Arabidopsis thaliana: one gene and its partners. The protein of the gene in region 4 interacts with the protein of the main gene of each other region in a pairwise test. Each region holds a gene or a part of one and is shown on either strand. Other genes may lie near its edges.

Region 1 (4,470 bases), 710 kb from region 4:
CTCCATTGGTTTTCCATTGGTTAAATCTTCTTTACGTAGATATATAAATTGAGAAACAATGTTAAAGTATTTTCTCAAACTCATCAATAACATCTTACAAACAACAACAATCAACAATGGCAACTTCCATGATCCCTATATTCGTCACCTTCATGCTCGTGGCCGCCCACATGGCCCTCGCCGATACAAATATGCTTCAAGACTTTTGTGTTGCTGATCTCTCCAACGGTATCACATCTCTCTCTATACCATTTATGTTCTGCTTGCATTTACATTTACCAGATATAGTTAACTGCAAACGCAGCTTTGGTGTTTTGAAACAACCAAGACCAATTCCAATATTTTGTTGTTGACTTTTTATCATGTTCTGATTAGGTTTGAAAGTCAACGGATACCCTTGCAAAGACCCAGCAAAAGTAACACCAGAAGACTTCTACTTCATAGGCTTAGCCACTGCTGCAGCCACAGCCAACTCTTCAATGGGCTCAGCTGTTACAGGAGCCAACGTTGAGAAAGTGCCTGGCCTCAACACTCTGGGAGTCTCCATCTCTCGGATCGACTACGCACCTGGCGGACTTAACCCACCACATCTTCACCCAAGAGCCTCTGAAGCCATCTTCGTCCTTGAAGGCCGTCTCTTCGTCGGTTTCTTAACCACTACCGGGAAACTCATCTCCAAACACGTCAACAAAGGAGACGTTTTCGTTTTCCCCAAAGCTCTCCTCCATTTCCAGCAGAACCCTAACAAAGCTCCTGCTTCCGTCCTCGCTGCTTTCGATAGCCAGCTTCCCGGGACTCAAGTTGTTGGACCATCTCTGTTTGGTTCTAACCCACCGATTCCTGATGACCTGCTTGCCAAGGCGTTCGGGGCTGCAGCACCAGAGATTCAGAAGATTAAGGGAAAATTCCCACCAAAGAAATAAATAAGTTTCAGACCAGAGCACTAATCTAATAATGATATACAATGATGAACATAAAAATGTAAACTTCTAAGCAAAAGCTTGTAACTTTTTTTCATTCTTTTCTTTATTATTGTAGATACTCTTTTGACTATATTTGGCCCATTGATTACGATGAGACCAGTTTTCACATGTTTAAGAGTCTATATATATATATATCTTTGAACAATCGACAGTTCTTGAAACATACCATACTGCAAGAATATTAAGGTCCTCTTTAGTGCTTTCAATCCAGTAGATTTAATGGCTGAACTTTCAGCTGAGTTTAGAGGGAAATCGTGTCTCAAAAAAGGACACAGAGGCATGCTACAACTCTGAAACATCAACCATTAACTATCCAAGCTCCTTCTTCATAATCACTTAGAATCAGATTCAATAAACAAACGATGATTGGAGATAACCATTTGCATAATCAAGACTTAGTAAGCATAACTAGCACAAGGGTTCCGCGGCTTCATAGAGATGATTAAATCCATATAGCAATTTCAAAACCACAACTACATCAGTGTCTCAGTAAAATTCAACTATTCATAAAACCATTGAAAATGGTTACCCTAGATGTGTCAAAGGTAAACAACACTTGCCAAAATAAACTTGGGCTTTACTAGTAGAGATATTCAACACATGGAAACAGATATCAGACATTAGCAATTAATATTCGTTGAGTGTGATACTCTGAGATTCAAACTTGGGCTCAAATTTCTGATCTTACAAACTAGTTTGGATATTATGGACAAAGAGTGACATTGTCAGAGACATATAGAAACTATCATACGGAACTATGAAGAGAGACAAGAAAGACCCACAGATATTAATGATGAGCATAAGAGGCAGATATACAAGATTCATTAACAATAATCACTCTGTTCTGCAAAAATCTTTGGTAACATTGATGAACACACTTTTGATATTGATGAAGTTTAAAAGAAGATCTATACAGATATTGGTGGTATACTAAATGAAAACTACACTATATATATATATATATATATATATATCTGAACTTACAAACAGAGATGTGGATTAGAATCCTTGGAGAAGAAATCATTGGTCTGTAGCAGAACCCTAAGCTTAAAGTTGTCATCTTCAGGGTCAGGTTCAATTCCACAAAAGCAGACTCTTTTCCAAAACCCAGAAGAAGGAGACGTATTCGGCGATAAGGGTCTCCTTCTGAACTTAGACACGATTCGTTTCTTTGCTTTCGAGACGGAGTAAATCAACAATGGAGATTCCTTTTTCTTCTTCTTGTTGTTGATGTTATCAGGATCTCTCTCGTTCTGTTCATTGTTCATCCACCGAAACCAGAATCAGTTGGCCAAAATTCGGATAGAAAATTGGACGATCTATCAGAGACGAAGCCAGGTCTGGTTTCTTCTTCCTACTTGCTACGGTCTCCTTCACGCTTTTTGTTTCCAGGCCTCGCTGGCTCTTTCTCACTCTCAAAAAATCGCAATCGAGTTTTCGTGTTAAATAAATTATTAATTAGTTTTACTAATAATGAAATAGAAAAATAATTTAATTCGGCAAACCAAATTTTCAATTTTATTGCTGTTTTGGTCCTCCGGTTTGCAAATGTTTTTCCTTTCTTCCGTATTATTTTTTTCGCGATCAACCTATAACATTTAGCATGTAAACATGTTTATTTTCTAAATGCATAAAATATCAAACTATTGTGGAAAAAAAACTAAATATATATATCAAAATATGTTTGACGGTTTTATTACGCAAATATTTTATATACTCCAGAGAAAATTTTAAAAATGTTGTTTTTGTTTCACGCTTCAACGTGTAAATTGGCGTTTAAATCAAATAAAAATGTTTTGAATTGCGTTTAAACTTAAGCAAAAAGGAGAAAAAGAGTATTAGTGACGAAGAACATTAATGTAAAATCAAATTTAGCTCTAAGCCGATTAAGAGACAACATATAAAAAATTTCCCACTATTGACCTTTAGCTTTTACAATGGCATTCCCTACATTTATTTGCCTTCATCATAGCGTAGTGACGTAGCATTTGCCAAAATTCTAAGACTTCTGTTCTCCTTTAGTATCTCTTTCAGCTCCAAGTCTTTCCTTAACTCACATTCTATCAAATCATAAACCTAGAGAACACTATTGATAAATGAAAACATTAATTCTCTCTACCTATGTTATTGAAATATATAGTACTTATCAGTTGAAAGCACATGATCCAATATATCATGTTGTCGTAGCATAAATACCTCACGATCTTGGTGCAAGTTTCTCCAGCTCTTTTGCCATTTCACATCTTTCCTAATTTGTACCAATCTCCTTATACTCTGTATCTTTTCTCCCTTTTCACAATATTTGCATAAATGGGTTTTCATAAATGAGGAGGAGTTGAAGCGCCGAAGTTTTGCTTGCTTTATGTACCACAAAGTTAGTTCCTTTATAACATGGGTGCAACAAAAGAAGTTAGTTGGATTTTTTTGTACTGACATGCTTCTAGTGTTTCTTTAAACCCTTTCTTTATTATCTGACCAAGTCTTATCTTTACTTTATGCATAAGAAAAAAATGTGATTGTCACAAATCATCACATACTGTATTGTTAAGTTGGAATCTTCTGTAAAGTTCATGTGTCCTTTATGACTGCAAATCTTCTTCCTAAAAGAAAAAAACAACTTTACTTGTATTTGACCAATAGTGATAAGGATTCTAATAGAATCACTCTACAACTTGCTATGAATTATGGAAGAGAAAAAAACAATCTTGAACTCTGTTCATATAATCCTCCAAAAATCGTAATTTAGAAGAACATGGAAGTGGGTTTACATTTCTATGTTTCATTGTTTTTTGAGTAATGAGAATCAGATATCTTCTCACTAACGGAATCCACCTCTTGAATTCAGCAAACCAGGGAAACCCCAATGAGAAGAGAAAACAAGATTAGGATATAAACCTTCTTTGTTCATCTGATTTGTGATGCGCATATAAATGTTAAAGATCCTTCTTGGCAAAGCTAGTGCCTTAAGAACCAGCTTCCTTGATCGATTTACTCTGAACCCTTTTGCTCGAGTCTCGTTCTTCTTCCCCAAGTTCTGTCTTTTGGTCGGCGACCTCGTTGTTCTTTCTGGTGGTGGTGTTGTCAATCTCTCGCCATGATCAGTTAGCTTCTTGTACCGATAAGATTGTCTCCACCGGTACTTGCCTACAATCTGCAACATCTCTGTTTCTTATAAAGTTGTGTGTATGTTGTTGTTTTAGGACAATACAGAGTCACTGTCTAATGAAGGATAAGAACGAAACAAAGAGATATGAAACTAGGAAAACAGTAACAAAACAGGAATATAAAAAGGAAATGTTTTTGCTTAAAAAGATAAGGAGAAGAATTATGTGATGATAATGATTGTGAGGGAAGTGGCTTAAAGGCATGTGTTTATAAAGAGACAGAGAGAGTAAGAAAGATTCTTAAAGCACATGATTTTATTCTTTATTTTCCATTTAAAACCCAAAAAAATATCCAAAATCTGTTAAAATGGGCAGCTCTTGTT
Region 2 (7,013 bases), on a different chromosome or scaffold from region 4:
ATTCCTCAAATTACGTTTTGGAATTTTTAACTCTTTTTGTCACAGATATCTTCTAGTTAAAATGAAATCTTTGGTTACTAATCTAAAGACATAAATTCGTTTATTGACGAATCTAAAAACCATAAATCACTTGGATATATATTCATTCCCGTTTTTTTCCTCTCTTCCTTCGAAACTGCGTTTCAAACCTCTAAATCGAGCTTTTTGATTTTGAGGGTTAGTGTTGGCTTTGTTGATGAGACAATTGCGATAACACTACTTTTGTGTAGTTCCACTATATCAAAACTTTGTGACTTTGTCACATGTTAAATTTGATATGCATCTAAGGGCAGCTGGATTCGCAGAAGGAAGAGTGATGAGGTGGACGGTGGACCAATGTGGTTTGCTCTTCTTCCTTCGCATGACAACTTAACTGTTTCTTGTGCATGAAGGAACAAAACCCTAGTCTACTTTAGTTGTTGATCATGTAGTTGTGATGATCTCTCTCTTTTGTTCTATCTTTTTGTTGTTGTTTGGTTTTAACATTGGAATCTCTGTGAGATCGGTTAGTGAGAATGATCGACGATCATGGATTTTCGGGTTTGTTGCAGGATTTTGGCTGTGATTCACTTGCAATATATTGTATGCTTTGGGATCCAGTCCAAAACAAGCAATCCGTTATATTACCTCAAGGGCAAGTAAGATCAAAACAAATGAATAAACACAAGCCACCCGTTACATATAGATTCACCATCACCTCTTACTTCACTGCTCGATATTTTTACACACAATACAAGTACAATTCAAACAAATGCCTAAAACCTATATAAACTACAAAACAAATAAGCTCTTACGGATACTAAAAATCACAACTTAGGTAAGAGCCGTTCTTCAAGGGCTTTGACCCGTCTCTGTTCTGTCTTCTGGACCAGCAAGTGTCACCTGCAACACATCAGTTTCATACTTACATCAACACCTCTCTCTACAAAAACCAAAGTTTCTAACTCCATCTTAGTTATACTTACATTACAATCACAAGCAAATCTTCGTGCAAGCATGATCGCAGCGTTTCTTTCTCTCTCAGACTCAAAAGCTATCACAAATGACACTCCTTTCTTCGCCTGCCAATACAATGCCTGAGCTGCAGCATTTCCACCTCCTCTCACTCCACATAGCTACTCAATATGATCATCAAAGATTATGATATTATAGATCTCACCGTGTAACACTAAAAATATGACAATTTTCTCGGGGTAAAGTAGTATCCTTACCTGCATTGCACTAGAGTAGTACTCTTTTGCAATCACTGTCTTTCCCTTGCAAAGTTTTATCCTCATTTTACCAACATGAAACAAGTGGATAGATTCTGATGTATGGTCTTCCCCACTCATTTGGGTCACAACTACCTGTAAATTACAATAAGGGGAAATATAATATACATACAAGCACCAAATATATAAATACTAATTCCGAGTGTTAGAGAAACCTTACATTGAAATCAACATCGTGTTTCCGTACTAATGCCTCGACATAGCTACCCAATCCAGCAGCTGCACCAAATCAAGACTTTGTTATGTTTGATAAATCATCTAGTAATGACGAAAATCAGGACCGTGTTTGTTGATTTGTCAAAGTTAAGTAATATCTACTAAGTGACAGAACCTACACAAACCATTTGATCATGTTGACATAAACAATAACCTTTTACAGTAAATAACATAACAATGAACCTGGATCAATCTTTCCCACTGTGGATAACGAAAGCGAATGGCCATCGTAGATGATATCTGCATGCAAGACTCGTCCAACGTCAAAAGGCTCGGGAGCGTAAACTGATTTTGTGGCACCTGAGATAGGAACATAGTTAGGAAACATTTTCCTCAATGGGAACAATGTTAAACTTGATTTTGCCCTATTTACACCAGCCTTTGGAAATATATTGTTCACAATTCCAAAATCATTAGTTAGAAGAAACAATCTGATTTGTAATCGACTAGCTCACAGAACAGAACATTTTAAAACTCAAATATAATAAGAGAAAGAAAACAATGAGAAAGGTGAGTGGACCTGATATAAGCTCCTTCTTGGAGCCATCTGAAGATGAACGGTACCATTGTATCGTACACTTGGAAAGATCAGGTGCATCATTGGAGCAAGGTCTAACTCGCAAACAAGATCCTAGAGCTTCAGTGCCATCTATTTCATATACAAGGGATATATTTTCCTCGCTCTTTCTGCACATTGCGAGCTGAATCATAGAAAAATGTATATAGTATCAGAATCCACTATTTGTCAACCGCATACAGTCACAAATGTGGAAGTTAAGACATCAAAAGGACCTGGAATGCACTAAATAGAATATATATGTGTATGGAATATGGATCCAACTAACCTTCTTTTGTAGTTGAAGAAAATGTTTTGATTTCTCTGCAAGCTGATTTCTTAGTGCTCGAAGCTCATATTCCATATCCATTACCTAAAACAATACACATGATTTGACTTTTTAAAAACAACATAAGATACTAAAGAAGCATCGACTTAGACAGACAGATAAAGCCATTTAAACCCAAGAGATAAACCATCTTTCATCTACCTACCCTGCTTGGTTGATGCAGCATTTTAATCCGCCTAGCTTCTTGAACTTCCTTCATTAGATCTTCCATGTCCTGATACGATAAATTATAACAATACTCTGTTAACACGAATCAATGTTATAAGCATAGGACATTTACAAGATTATGATAGAAGCCATCACTAAAATACTTGTTTCCCAGAGGCACGAGACATCTGTTCATGTTCTCGCAGGGCTTCTTCAACTCTTTGTACAGCTGCTCTTGCACTTTCAATCTCAGCACGTGCAAACGCTCTTTCCTCGTCGACAAGTTTCTTAGCATCCTCTGAGGCCTAGTTAAAAAATCATACCCACTAATCAGCAAGATTATTAGAACACATCTGCATCTTTTTCAAGCTAGCCCATCTAGTAACCACTAATTTACAACCGACAACAGAAGACTAATACAAATGTCCCAAGCAAGATAAGAAAAAGAATCAAGAATAGTAAGTGAAAGATTATGTCTGTAAAGAAACTACATCATAGTTCTTTGTCAAAAGTAATAGAATATAAACTACTCAAATGAAAACAAAAAGGACAGACTCTCTCTTAATCATCTGGTTAGCTCAAGGACTAACAAAAACTGCATGGTATTAAGCCGTGGACGAAAACGTATTTGCTATTTTAGAGGACTTGGTTGTTTCAAGTGAAATGACATAGACGTCTCCTAACTATTCACCTCAAGTGACACGAGAAAAGAAAATATTGTCACTGTCTCAAAGGCACACTTTACCTGCTTTAAAAAAGACGCTAGCTTTTTCACTTCCGCTTTTTCTATGAATAGCTCTCCTTCTCGCTGAGTCAACTGAACAGCTAGAGCTTCAACCTAGCAGAATTCAAAATTCCAAACATACTTAAGATATAGAGGTGGAAGGGAAAAATGTTGGTAATGGGGATTGTGAGACAATTTAAGAACGCAGAACTGAAAATGGAAAAAAACACATTTCGGTTTGTAGAAAAGGCTAGAGGCGATATATATCACCATGTAAAGGAACGGAGCTAAATATGATGACTAAAAGACTATAAAAGAGTAAAAGACTAACCATGGCAATGGCTTCCTCTACATCATCCTTGTTTCTACCTGCCACACGTCCTCTTAGAGACTCCAATGCATCTCGAAGTTTCTTTAAAAGAACATGTTTCTCCAACGAAGTTGCTTCTTTGAGTTTTGCCTGCATTCGTTCCCAACCAAATTAGCCTTAAATTTTTTTTTCAATCATATCATATTTTCACTTTAGCAACCTAGATTAGCCTTCTTGATCCCCTATTTCTGTATTTATAACAACAAAAAATTCTTTGCTAACAAAAAGTAAGGTTATCACCGAATTAAAATCCCTCTTATTAAATCCTATTTAGTAGACTCAATCAACACAAAAACTAACATAAATGTGCAAATCAACTCATTACATAGTAACCAAAGATAGTAACAATACAAGAGACACATTTCATCTATAAGACCTCAACAAAAAGAGAATAATATCAGACCTCCTCAGATAGCTTAGCAGCTGCAGCCAAACCCTTCTCAAATTTATGAGCGAGGTCACGAACAGACAAACGTTTCTGCTGGTCCATAAGCTGCGCTGTCTCACGCGCAACAACCTCTTTCATGGACATCACTTTAGGATCGTCTTTAACATCAAATATTTGATCATTAGCTCCAATTCTATAATTAGGAAATCTACTTGAAGCAAATTTCACATCTGCTGATACTGCAGGAACACCATCTCTCTGTAATGAATCCCGAAAATCGCGTGTAACCCTTGTCATTGTATCTGTTTATAAACAAAACCAAAAATGCTTAGACAAAAACAAAATAAAAGACAGAAAATGCTAGTAGATGTCTAACCACTATGAATAGTAATATACTCCAATGGACTCACAGATCTGTTGTTGAATCTTCACAAAAATCTAAAACAACAAAAACAAAACATTGTTTTTTTCAGTACCTACGCCAATGTTGGAAATAACAATGGATTCAACACACATTTAAAAACATTTTATAGCTACAGAGATAAAGAATTGATGGATGTCAAAACCCTAGATTACCAAACAAAAGAGCTAACAACAACTACCCATATACCAATTTAGTAACAAATTTCAAAGAAGATAGAAATTGAAAGTCAAATTTTAAGAACTTGAAATCGAAAATCAGAACACAAAATACTGCAATAATCACGAACAACGTCGGAGATTTTCAAGAGAACAAAGCTAAACACTTCTCACCTGAATCCGATTAATGGATCAGACAAATGTTTTGAGTTGAGATCGAATTTGAGAAGGTCGTCGAGAACAGAGAAGGAAGAAGAAGAAGATTTGGTCTGAGGAGAAGGCAAAAAGTGAAGTTTGAGAGAGTCGTAAGCATTAGCTTTACTAAAAAGCAAAGACCGTGAAAAAATTGTGGCTTTGGTGGAAACACTGTCTTTTTTCTTTTTTTCTTTTTTTTTTAATTTAGTTTTGTTTAAAAGTTTTTCTGGTTTAGGTAATAAATTGTTGCATAATTTTCAACTCCGGTTGATGTGTGTCGCTGTCGGACTGTTGTTGTCTGAAACTTAAAAATCACAGAGCGGTCACGGGTTCTGTTTCGTGTTTAACTGCCACGATATTCTTTTTAATTGTTTTTTAAAAGGGAAAGTAATCAAAATGATGACACTAATAAGAGTGGTTTGGTGTGAAACTTAGACCTTTCTTACACAAATTTGGTAAAGCCAAAACTTTTTTTGGTCATGGGGATTTATTTTTTTTTACTTTTTATTTTTTTTTTTGTCATAAAGAAATTATAGAATCTTGTTGTGAAAGACGTAAAATATAATGCCCAAACAAAAAAAACGTAAATTGGCGGATAAACTATAAGTTCCCAAAAAAACATAAGCTGGCGGAAAAAGAGAATTCTTCGGAATCTAGATCCTAAATAAAGAAGATGAAGTAAACTCAAATTATAATGCAGAAAATATCAAACCAATCTCGAAAAAGGACGATAGTACAAACTAAGATCCATATTAACAAGACAAAATCTTAAAAAAATAAGAGATCCAACAAAGCAGAAACTCCACTTCTTTTAACACACCTGCAAGTACGATTGATCAAATCCAAAATAACATTTACCACCTCCTATCACGTTGAGAGCCAATCTCTCGAGAACCAAGGATATCATAACCCGACATGCAAGACCACTAAAAGAAACACAAACACCATTCCAGATACGACGATGACCACCAATTCGTCACTTAACGTCTAGATAGAATCCTTCAAAAAACAATCAGATTACGACAAAATTGTAAAAGAAGGACAAGAAGCGAGGCAAAACTTCTCAAAACCCACCAATCACAAGATCACCAATCACGAGTAAAGCCACAACTATTTTAATTAAATCATACAATATCCTAAATTAGGCTTTTCTTTTTGATAAATTAAAAAAAAAAAGATAGGATCATCCAACAAAAATAGTACAAACAAAAAATGTCAAAATCTTGCATCACCTCTAAAAACCTTTCATGTTAACAAAATCTTGCATATTTTTGCCCTATACAAAGTCTTGCATATATACAAAGTCCTTTGGTATATTGTTGTTAGCCACCTTATCTAACTCTTTTACGGGCTCTGTCCTCATGAAGAAGAACAATTTTTTTAATAAATTGTTACCTTACCACATATAAGCTTAATCTGGAATGGTTGTGATTTAATCAATGAAGATATTGCCTCAAACCTGAATAGAGGAGTGAAAGTGGATTTCAATTGGTTGGTTATCAAACCCATCAGCATGATACCTGTTAGTTTCTCGGCCATACCACTCAATCATTGCCATAAATATCATTGAAGTCTACTAGTCTGTTTGAGACATTCAACTCACACAAGTGGTGGGTTATTTTCTCTGACAAACACGGCCAAACAATAAAATTGCTGAAAACAAGAAGTTGCCTAAAAAACCAAAGGACTTGTGAGAAAAATGGCAAATGCGGGCTAGGATGGGCTGTGGATTAGAGGCCCAATATGCCTAATGGGATACAACACGACGTCGTTTAGACCAGCCATAGTTCTCTTGTCCGCCAAGACGGGAGAGACTAAGGAAAAGCATAAGAAGAGAAGAACCAAAGAAGAAGCAAAGAAGCACTGATAAATCTCTGCAACTCAACAAATTTCTGAGATTAGCTATGGAAGGTTCTTCATCTTCGTCTTCGTTAATTTCCAAATCGGACGCTGAGTTGGAGGAAATGCTCGATCGGATGCTGACGAGACTCGCTCTTTGCGACGACTCCAAGCTCGAATCCCTAGTCTCTAACCTCCTTCCTCTTACCATATCTTCTCTTTCTTCTCAATCTCCCGTTGTTCGCAACAAGGCAAGTCAGAGATTTACGAGCTCTTCCTCTGAATTTAGTGTTTGACGATTTCATATTGATTCTTAGTGTGTGTTGATTTCATTTTTCAG
Region 3 (4,561 bases), 100 kb from region 4:
TTTTACAGTGATGTTACTTATGGTTATGGTCCAGTCAGGTCTGGTGAGAGAGACGCTGGGACACCCATGTGGTCGTACATTTTTGTCGGCTTTGATTCAGCTAGTGCCGTGTAGACCATCAGTGGCTCCGTTTAGCACATTGCCTCCGAACGGGCTATGTTGCGCTGCCATCAAGACACTTGGTCAACCTTGTTTATGCGTTCTTGCCAAGGGACCACCCATCGTTGGCGTTGACCGGACCCTCGCTCTCCATTTACCTGGAAAATGTTCTGCCAATTTTCTTCCATGTAATTAATTTCATGTCTCTTGTTATCAGTTATTTGGAATAATTTCTCTAGAAAATCACAAAATGACAAAGTTTCTTTAGGATCACTATATATAAGAGATACAGATAAAACCTAGAAGAATAATCCTAATGTAATCTACAAGAGATGGGTAATTTTCCCTTCAATAAAGGAAACGCTAAGTAAAATAAAACTAAAACCCGTTACTTGTCGAACACTCCCAATACGAGTGTTTGATAAAATCCCTAAAACTACTAAAGGTGCGCTGCATCAGCTTGTATCTTCATATGCAGCTAATATTTCACTTGACTTGTTGTTTCGCACTTACACATACAAAACATTCTCAGTTTCTATACGCATATGGTTCTGCAGCCTTTTCCTAGCATCTAGTTGCATCGGACTTTGTGGGTTAACCTCACATTTCGTTTATTTTGGTGTCGTTGGGTGGAGAGAGCAATACGGCGCCTCTCTATATAAACTAATACAGTAAAACTTGGAAAAATCTGCAGCACGCAATTTGCTTACATGAAAGTATATTCACTGCATAAAGTAAAAACTAAACACAAACTTATATTATTCTATTTCTTCAGAGCAGCCTGCTCATTCTTCGCCTGCTCTACCTGAAATCAGAGAAAAAACATTGGATATTTATATAGAGTACAAGTAACGTCAAGCTCCATTTCATCTACTTGCTCTCACCATGTGATGTTAAGGGTATTCAATCCCTTGCGAATCTATCAGGATCAAATGGCCGTCTTTGTGCATTCCAATTCAAGTCCCTAGATTCTTGAGATTCTGGTGCTGCATTCATTGGTGCAAAGGCTGCAACGACAGAGAGATTGTTCAAGACAGCTGAGAAACTACAGTAAAAGCAGAATACAGCACACACATATCACCCACCACATGACTCTAGCTAGATTCATGCAAGATGCTCGGCTCAATTAGCATGTCAAATATACACGGTCAAGATGGTAGACAATAAGCGACATTCATCTAAATTCATCCCTTGCGCTCTATCTTATCTATTTACCTCTCTTCAATTTGCAAACGACATGTTTTAAAGCATTTCCCCAATTTTCTGATATATTTCAGGTAATAATATGTTAAGAGTTCCTATTCAACAAAACAGAGCACATGATGATGATGCAACTTTAACTTTCCATTACACCAAATAATTTTCAAACTAATTCTGTTCATCAGTTCATGCAGTAAAATGCTGAAGAGTATATAAAAGTACCATTACACTTATGTTGGTGATGAAAACTCACCTTTATCTCTCATCCTCCTTTCTCTATCATACTCAAACTTATCCCTGATTTGACTGACTTTCTCCCAATTATCACCTTGTGTAGTTCTATTAAACCCTTGCTCCTGCTTTCATTTCCGATTCTCACAAAAATCAGACTCAAGTTTTACAGATAACACAAAACAAAATCAGGGAAAACAATGAAATTAGACAGAAGTGAACCACAACAAGATCTCAAATCTACTCACTACAAAAAACATAATAAAGTTGTTACCTTTGTTTGATCGCTGAAAGACCGCCTGTTCCTGCAATGATTAAGAAGATCAACCAATCACAAAACCACCCATCCACACCTAAATATCATTATAAGAATATAGTCAGGGATTAAACCTGTATGGATTAAAATCTTCATCGTCTTCTTCAGCGGATTCATAATTTGCATGATCACTTGCGAGTTTCTTTGAATACCCTTCATCCCAATAAAGCCTCTCCCAGTTTTCTCTAAGCTCGTTATATAGTTCCATATACTTTTTGCACCATGGCTCATGTTCCTATCATTGCAATGGTTTAACAGATTTTTTTCCAATTGAACTACAACACAGAACAATTAAACAGTGAAGATTGAAAAAACTTAAACTTTGTGAAAGGAACTGACCGATTCTTTAAGGACGAGGCGAGTGCGGCGCATGAACTGGTCACGGAGCTGCTTACGGCGTTTGTTCGGAATGTTGTCCCTGGGGATTGTGAAACGCTCACGAGGAGGGACGTGATCACCGATCTCGTGCATCTCTCCGTCTACTATCCACCACTCGGATTTCTCTTCCTTCTTCTTTAGCGGAAGAGAAGGCAACTTGTTTCGCCGTCTCGGCTGACCTGCCTCTGTTCTCGCGAGTCGAATCTGGGAAACGCCGCCGTGACGTATCGACGGCAAAATGGAGCCTACCCGTCTGACGACAAAGTTCATGGCGGTTTTCCGGCGGTTTGTAAAGAGCGTCGCAGAGTCTGAGATTAGAAGTGAAGTCGGGAAGCTAAAACGACCTATACCAGAGCTGCTTTCTAAACCAGTTATGAACCGAAATTGAACGTTACTCGGTTTTCCTAATTCTCTTGTGATTTCATGTCTGGTTACGATTTCTGGATTTGAGGTTGAGTTTAGTCATGATAGAGCCAGCCCCGGCCCAATAAATATAAAAGTATTAGGGAAAAAACTTGTGTTTTTTTGCTTTGGACTTTTCATTATGTTACAGTTTTAATTGTTTTGGGCTCTAGATTCATAATAAAAACAAAATTGGATCTTTACTGTATTTTTAAAAAATATTGGGTCTTATATGAATTGTTTTTAAAAAGGAAATGAGCCTTATACACTTGCACCTTGCCCTACCCAATTGGGCCGGGTCTGGTTAGAACTTAACGAACTTGTGTGATTTTGTAAGATTGTAGTTCAAAGATTAACTGCACTGTGATGAGACCATGTCCATTGTCCGATTACGGTTTCTAAACCGGTTATGAACCGAAATTGAATCTAACTCGGTTGTACTATTTTTTTCGCATTGTATGATGACCATGTCTGATTACGGTATTTGGATTTGGGGAGATTTTGGTCATGTTAGAGTTCAACGAGTTTGATTTTGTCAGATCGTACATAATTTTATAATTGAATTGGCAAATGGTGTGATCCAATTCAAACTTCTAGTTTCTTTCTTTCTTTCATTGACCTTTTATTGAAACTCCAAAGAGTCTGATTTCTTTCTTTCTTTCCTCGAGAAACAGTGTCATTGAAACCTTGAACTTAAGATTACTTATTCCCTTGGAGTTTCAATGAAACCTTGAACTTGCTTTTGCCTAAACAATAAGACTCTGAACTCTACTCAAAACTCTATACCAATTCTATCCACACTAAACATTTTATTAACCAACGAAGAAGAAGAAGTAACATTAAAGAACACCATGTTCTCGGCCTAGGACAAGGTGTTACACGCAAATACTGAACTTATCTCCAAACACCTCAAATCTCATGCCAGATTCACATACATGTCATCATCTGGATTAGATACAAATGATAAATTCTACTACATATTAAACTAGATATCGAAAATCTAAAAATAATGCAGATAACACAACATGCCTATTCTTCTACAATACTTAACTTTCTGGTTCTTAATCAATGTCAACAGTTGAGAGAACGCAGATAATCCATCAATAAACGGTAGTCTGAACATGTAATTAGGAGATAAACAACAACCCAAAATCTCATTATTCAGAATCAAAGTCAAAAAGAGAACAACAAAAACGATAAAGCTCACAACTCTCATCGAGCATCCAACACAGCATCAAATTCTGATTTTTCCCTAATCTTGGGAAACAAGTTGCAGAAATTTCCCAATTGAACGTTTCAACAAAACCATTAGCTCAAGTCTTCCAATTTCTACCCAGTGCTGCCATGAACAATCGATCCAAGTGTACCAAGAACCGCGAAAGCAAGCAATGGACTAACATCAAGCGTATCGAAGATAGGAGGAATGATGTTTCTGAAGAGATTCAAGTAAGGATCACAGAGATCTCTAATGGCAGACAAAGGCTGTCTTTCCCAAGGGATATTAGGGAACCAACTCAGCAAAACCCTAACCATCAATACCCCACTGTAAATGTCTAGCCACTTCTTTATCCCCACCGCAACAACCGTCAGCGGCGTGTTCAAGTATCCCGGAGGACGATCCCGGAGAGACGCGAAGAAGACAGGTCCGGCGGTACTGAGAGAGAATCGTAACCCGTCGGCGATTACGGGACTTGAAGTCTGGATTGCGAGAGAGAGTTTCTGAGCTAGGACTCTGGTTACAGCGATTGCTAAAGCCGCGAGAGTAGCGAGAGACCGAGTGGACCCGGTGAGTGTCGATGACCGAGCTGTTGACTTCTCCGTCTGGAGGATTGGTGTTGTTATCGGCGAAGCGGATGCGGAAATTCGGATGGATTTAGGGTTTTGGATTGATAGAGAAGGGAAGGGGTTAAGAGGAAAGAAGAGACGAGCTGGTGG
Region 4 (5,118 bases):
AAATTTCTCAGAAAAGTAGATCCAGGAGTTTGAGTTTTACCCTCGGTATCTCCAACATGATGATTCGCCTTCTTTCCACGCCTCTCGATAATCTTCAACTGGGCATCTCGGATTTGAATCGGGTCACGGGTTTTCACCGCTTGGATCCAATCGAGCCGATCCCTAAGCTTAGTTATATCTGGAAAGTAATCACGCTCGATGATCTTCTCGATTGCTTCAACATAAGCGTCCTCATCGAGAACTCTCATCCGTTTTCTAGGGTTTCGAGGAATGATCTCCGAGGAAGAACTGCGAGGCGTTGATCGGAGGGTATCATCGGAATAAGAAGACGGCGATGGAGAAGAAATCTGACGAGGAGAATGACCAGGTGAAAGAAACATCTTGAATCAGAAGAACGCGAATTCAAAAAGCACGAATGGAATTTGGAGCCGATGAATTTTGTCGAGAATTCGGACACTAGGGTTTGTTTTTGGGTAGACAGGAAAACAAAACGATGGTCGATGATTGCATCGGCGATGATATAATATTCCTTATCAATCCGATTATACGCGTTTTGTTTCCAGAATATTACATTATTTCCCCAAACGTTTTGATTCCTTTTGCTTTATACCCCGTAAGAAATCAAATCGTTATTATAACCCAAACATGAGGACGTTATTGCAAATAACTACTCTGTAATATCCATTTGGGCAAAATATTTTCTTTTTAAAGTCGGTGGCGATGTTCTTTGGCTCTCATGTTGGCTCAAATATAAACTATTTAAGGTAACATGGATCTCCCTCCATTAGCGAAATCCACAATTCTCTAAATCCGAGTGAATAAGTATCGAGATTTTGGCAACACTCTGTGTCAAAGCTTGCATAACATTATGGCCCAACATAGACGATCATGTGCAAAATTTGAATACAAAGACCACAATACTTCACACACAAATCCAACCTTAATTGATTCGGATTTTTTTTTTAATACAAACAAAGAGAGACAATACAAACATCTAAGGATTGGATCTGAAAGGATTTCGCTGGTTTGATCTTGGATCTACCCTTGGCGACGATGCATTGTATCCATGCAGCATTTCTCTGATCTTTGAGTACATCACTGCTTGTGACGCTTCACCACCATTCCCACCACTTTCCTGCTCTTTTATCTTTTCAAACAGATACTCTTTCTCTGCCTCCGCCTCGCTCAGCCTCAGTTTCAAATAGTTACTTGCGTATTCCTCTTCTGTTTTCTCCTTTTTCGCTTTCACAATCCTTTCCAATCTCTCTGCTTCCACTTTTGCCTCGTTTGCTTTTAACTGAAACATCTCTGCCTCTGCTTGCTTCAGCCTCACTATCCTCTCCACCTCTTCTATCTGTTGTTTCTTCTTCTGCCTCTCCATCTGCAGTTCCGCCACTTGCTTTGCTTTCTCTTCTACCTCTCTCTCGCATTCCTCAAGCCCCATTCGCGCTTTCTTGTACATCCTCGTCTTTTCCTCACCCACTATCTCCATTTTCCTCAGTGTTTCCTTTACAACTTCAGCAATTCGGTTGCATGCATCTTGAGGTGCTATCGTACCCCCACCTTCTCCGCTTTCAAGGCTCTTTGGAGAGTCCAATTCAATTTCTTCATACACAAAACATGGTTAGGTCTATAAAGAGTAAACCCTTATCATATAACAATAGCGAGTGGGCTTACCTTGGAAAAACATGAGTATCAACTTGGCCGCTGTTGCTTCAGCCAGTCCACCTTTAATCTTCTCCATAAGCTCCTCACACTTCCAGAAGAGTTTCCGGCCTCTTGTATCTTCGCTTCCACGGAAAATCCTACTAACGAAGTCAAGTTCCTTCATTAAAGATTCCCTATCCCAGTTTGGTGCACAGTGCTGAAACACATCTTTCACCCACCCCAGCAATTCAGAAGTATGGTTGCACGCTCGACACTTGAACAGCATTTCTCCCATCCCAGATACGCTCTTGGGAGAAACTCCCATCGAAATCTCCCCATCCCTAATAGCACAATCCGTATGAGTCCAATGAGAACACACGTCGCAGCCAATCCAGCGGCATGTGTTGACTGCAAAGTCAAACTTGTTACATATCACACACATGCACAGGTTGCAGAAGCCTTTCCTATTAGCGCATATCTCACAGGGACAACCATCAGCCGGGAGTTCGTTTTGGCAAGCTATGTTTCTGCATCTCTTGTACACAAAGATCTCGATGAGTGATGACTGAGAGAGATTGATGTTTGGGTGCAAGAATGCTTGGATACCAGTGTTTATAACCACAAGAACTTCAAGCTGCACTCGGTGAGCCCTGACAAGTGTCTTTGAAGTTAAATCAGATCTCGTCTGGACAAACTTCTGCAGAAACATAAACTCATCTATAGGCTGCGCACCATTTCCTTCAAGGATAGCCTTAAGACCATTCTTTAACTCCTCGAGATATTCTTCTGGTAATCGATGCATTCTCTCAGCGACTATGTCAAGTCTCTCTCTAGCTATGTCCCGTAGCGATACCTTATCAGCAATGGAAACATGGCGGATCACATGTTGATCATGAGAGTCAGGCCCTGTCTTTCCGCTATCTGTCTTCCTTCCCATAATAGATTTTGAGGTTGGCCAAGTTTCTTGAGAGCTAGCACTTTCAGCTGGTGATTCACGCACAATGCCAGAATTAGACCGTGACAAGTGGGGATCTGAAGATACAAGCGAAAGAGATGTTTGTAGTTGCTGACGTGGAGGTAGCATCTGGTGAGGAAGATTGGACCCAGATGATGTGCCCATCAATTTAGTGCTGCAGACACCAAGATAATGTCAATGTCAGATTCACCCCAAGGAACACATAAATCCCTAAAATACTTTACGACCAAATCACATACTAATTCAGGAAAGCCCAAAACATTTTGCAAAATCCCTAGAAATCCACCGACAGATAAAAACTACATCTCCTATGTTCAAATTGAGCTGAGATGATTAATCACTAGTGGAAGCTCAAAAAATACAAACACATGACAGAGTAAACACAAAACAAGCGCTAGAAAAAAACAAGTTGCTCGAATCTGTTTGCCCCGTAGATTATACGCTATAAAAGTCAAACACGAATCTTCATAAAATCAGAAAATCTTGCAAGTACCAAAATACATAGTCATAAACTGAATCAACCCTCAAAACAACGCATCCAACTCGATCACGAGAGTTATTGACTCTTTTTGTCACCGAATTTTCAGGACCAGCCTCGAACTCAACAACCAAAACAGATACGTTTTGCTGTATTCGCCTCAGACATAAAGAAAGCACCAAACAGACGAGAAAGGGAAAAAGACCGCCGGAAAATTAAGGACTCACCGGAGAGACGACGGGAGAGGACGAACGAGGAACCGTGACTCCGTGAGAAACCCAAAGGAAAGATAAATTAAACACTTTTTTGCCTGTTAAGACAGAACTATAAAAAAGACATACAGCTGCCAGTTCATTAATCTCTAACGGTTAACCTGACCAGCCGGTAACCTTCGACTTTTGTTGACTTTTTTAAACGCGTTCAACGTTTGAGTCGAATCTGTCCAAACAAAGTTTTAAACCAACCCAATTCGTACGATAACAACATCCCTCTATTTAATTAAAAATTACCATATGTCCCAAAATTTTAGTTTTGTTAGATAAAACTCGAAAAATCTTTCCAAAAACACCCCAACTGAATTTTTCTTAACGGTTATTAAAATTATACCGAGGAGGATCAACACAAACTGGAACAAAAACAAGCTCAATCAATTATTAATCTCTCCAACATAAATAGAGATTATCATTCGCTCATTGCCTATTGTTCTGAGTTTTGGGGTTCTACTTTTACTGCTACTACTAATAAAAGAAGAAGAATATGATGAGAATCGTAGCAGGGACATAAAACATTAGGCTTGTGTTCATTTCTTCCCATCCACTTCGACTGGTTCAACCACTTCAGCTTCAAACGTCTCTGCATCGTGAGAATGTGCCATCTGCTGTTGCTGCGGCTGCACCTCAGGGCTTGACCATTTCCCGGAAAGAGCTACATCCATCATCTCATATATCTTCCCACCCAGCTCTGCTGGATTATCGGGCTGTAGTTTTGAGAAACAACAATTAAGTTTTACCAGTATTTACTTTATTTCAATTCTAGAGACAACAAAAAGTTAAGAATGTTAATGTAGAATAGGACTCACCGTGAACCCACTAGAAACTAGTGCTGCGTCATACATAAGATCTATGGCTCTCATTGCATCTTCGTCATTTGGGTTACTATTGTAAGCAGCCTGCAGGGTGCAAGAAAAAAACAAGCCAAGCTCAAAAAGCGGCTCCTAGATTTAATTATAATAGCCAGGTACAAGTTATGATGAATGGTGACTTCACATTTATGTTCTTGATAATTGAGTGGTCGGGATTGATCTCAAACACTCTTCTCCCTTTCATGTAGTCGAGGCTTATTGTGTCACCAGTTGATTGTGCCTTCATTAGCCTGTCCAGATAACATATTCTGTGTTAGTTCACCAGGGGCAAAAAAGGAGAACGGAAATCCTTGCTTAAGAAAAAGGTCAGATCTTACCTCTCCATATTGGCTGACCAACCAAATTTACCAGATACAAGAACACAGGGGGAAGAACTAAGACGGTTGGAAATTTGAACACTGGCAACCTTGTCACCCAATCGTTTCTTTATCCAGTCACAAGTCTGTCCAAACTCTTTTTTCACTGCTGCCTCTTTCTCCTCGTTCTTGTCTCCTGTCAATACAAAGATCAAAGCCAGAATTTGTTATTATACATAAGTGATTACCTGACATGCTAAATCAAGGAATTACATCAGGCACTTGCCTAGATCCAAGTCTTCCTTGCTGATATCTACAAAATCCTTCTCCTTATAAGCTTTTAAACTCTGTACGGCAACTTCATCAATAGGCTCTACCAAATATAGTACCTACGTTCACAATACAAAGAAATACATGTCAATCACCTCTGAGTTAATAGGAATATTTGCAAGGAAGAACAAAACGAGGCCCCATTCAGAAGAACAACACATACTTCAAGTCCTTTCTCCAGCATCTTTTCGAGGAAAGGTGCATTCTTAGCACTTGTAATGCTGTCAGAAGCAATGAAGTATATGGCTTT

Evidence for each region.
Region 1: the proteins of OBE1 (region 4) and AT3G05935 interact in a two-hybrid assay, tested with the Arabidopsis thaliana proteins (one large-scale study listed by BioGRID).
Region 2: the proteins of OBE1 (region 4) and SCAB1 interact in a two-hybrid assay, tested with the Arabidopsis thaliana proteins (one large-scale study listed by BioGRID).
Region 3: the proteins of OBE1 (region 4) and AT3G07440 interact in a two-hybrid assay, tested with the Arabidopsis thaliana proteins (one large-scale study listed by BioGRID).

What each region holds. Positions count from the first base shown.
Region 1 is NC_003074.8:1,770,261-1,774,730, forward strand, and holds AT3G05935 (uncharacterized protein), read right to left. Parts: upstream 2,401-4,470; 5' UTR 2,252-2,400; coding exon 1,968-2,251; coding exon of another isoform or gene 1,964-1,967; exon of another isoform or gene 1,274-1,963; coding exon of another isoform or gene 1,150-1,273; exon of another isoform or gene 924-1,149; coding exon of another isoform or gene 871-923; coding exon 651-870; downstream 1-650. Other genes in the region: GLP8 (germin-like protein 8), read left to right, coding at 117-228, 376-923; AT3G05936 (uncharacterized protein), read right to left, coding at 3,802-4,143.
Region 2 is NC_003071.7:11,403,387-11,410,399, forward strand, and holds SCAB1 (plectin-like protein), read right to left. Parts: upstream 5,036-7,013; 5' UTR 4,814-5,035; intron 4,499-4,813; exon of another isoform or gene 4,437-4,498; intron 4,363-4,436; 5' UTR 4,358-4,362; coding exon 4,076-4,357; intron 3,763-4,075; coding exon 3,634-3,762; intron 3,417-3,633; coding exon 3,324-3,416; intron 2,884-3,323; coding exon 2,743-2,883; intron 2,646-2,742; coding exon 2,577-2,645; intron 2,456-2,576; coding exon 2,372-2,455; intron 2,228-2,371; coding exon 2,047-2,227; intron 1,827-2,046; coding exon 1,710-1,826; intron 1,530-1,709; coding exon 1,471-1,529; intron 1,386-1,470; coding exon 1,251-1,385; intron 1,155-1,250; coding exon 1,005-1,154; intron 922-1,004; coding exon 871-921; 3' UTR 593-870; downstream 1-592. Other genes in the region: AT2G26780 (ARM repeat superfamily protein), read left to right, coding at 6,739-6,924. UniProt on the Arabidopsis thaliana protein: Plant-specific actin binding protein that bundles and stabilizes microfilaments (MFs). Has no nucleation or capping activity. Regulates MF reorganization during stomatal closure. The binding to F-actin is insensitive to Ca(2+) and pH.
Region 3 is NC_003074.8:2,379,344-2,383,904, reverse strand, and holds AT3G07440 (uncharacterized protein), read right to left. Parts: upstream 2,718-4,561; 5' UTR 2,495-2,717; coding exon 2,186-2,494; intron 2,082-2,185; coding exon 1,921-2,081; intron 1,836-1,920; coding exon 1,805-1,835; intron 1,656-1,804; coding exon 1,553-1,655; intron 1,107-1,552; coding exon 1,003-1,106; 3' UTR 984-1,002; exon of another isoform or gene 905-983; 3' UTR 536-904; downstream 1-535. Other genes in the region: AT3G07450 (Bifunctional inhibitor/lipid-transfer protein/seed storage 2S albumin superfamily protein), read left to right, coding at 1-295; YLMG1-1 (YGGT family protein), read right to left, coding at 3,956-4,561.
Region 4 is NC_003074.8:2,482,753-2,487,870, reverse strand, and holds OBE1 (potyvirus VPg interacting protein (DUF1423)), read right to left. Parts: upstream 3,418-5,118; 5' UTR 2,886-3,417; coding exon 2,863-2,885; intron 2,778-2,862; coding exon 1,678-2,777; intron 1,606-1,677; coding exon 995-1,605; 3' UTR 745-994; downstream 1-744. Other genes in the region: AT3G07790 (DGCR14-like protein), read right to left, coding at 1-380; Hsp89.1 (HEAT SHOCK PROTEIN 89.1), read right to left, coding at 3,901-4,077, 4,180-4,269, 4,367-4,472, 4,560-4,734, 4,825-4,927, 5,032-5,118. UniProt on the Arabidopsis thaliana protein: Probable transcription factor that acts together with OBE2 for the maintenance and/or establishment of both the shoot and root meristems, probably by controlling the expression of the meristem genes such as WUS, PLT1 and PLT2 and of genes required for auxin responses.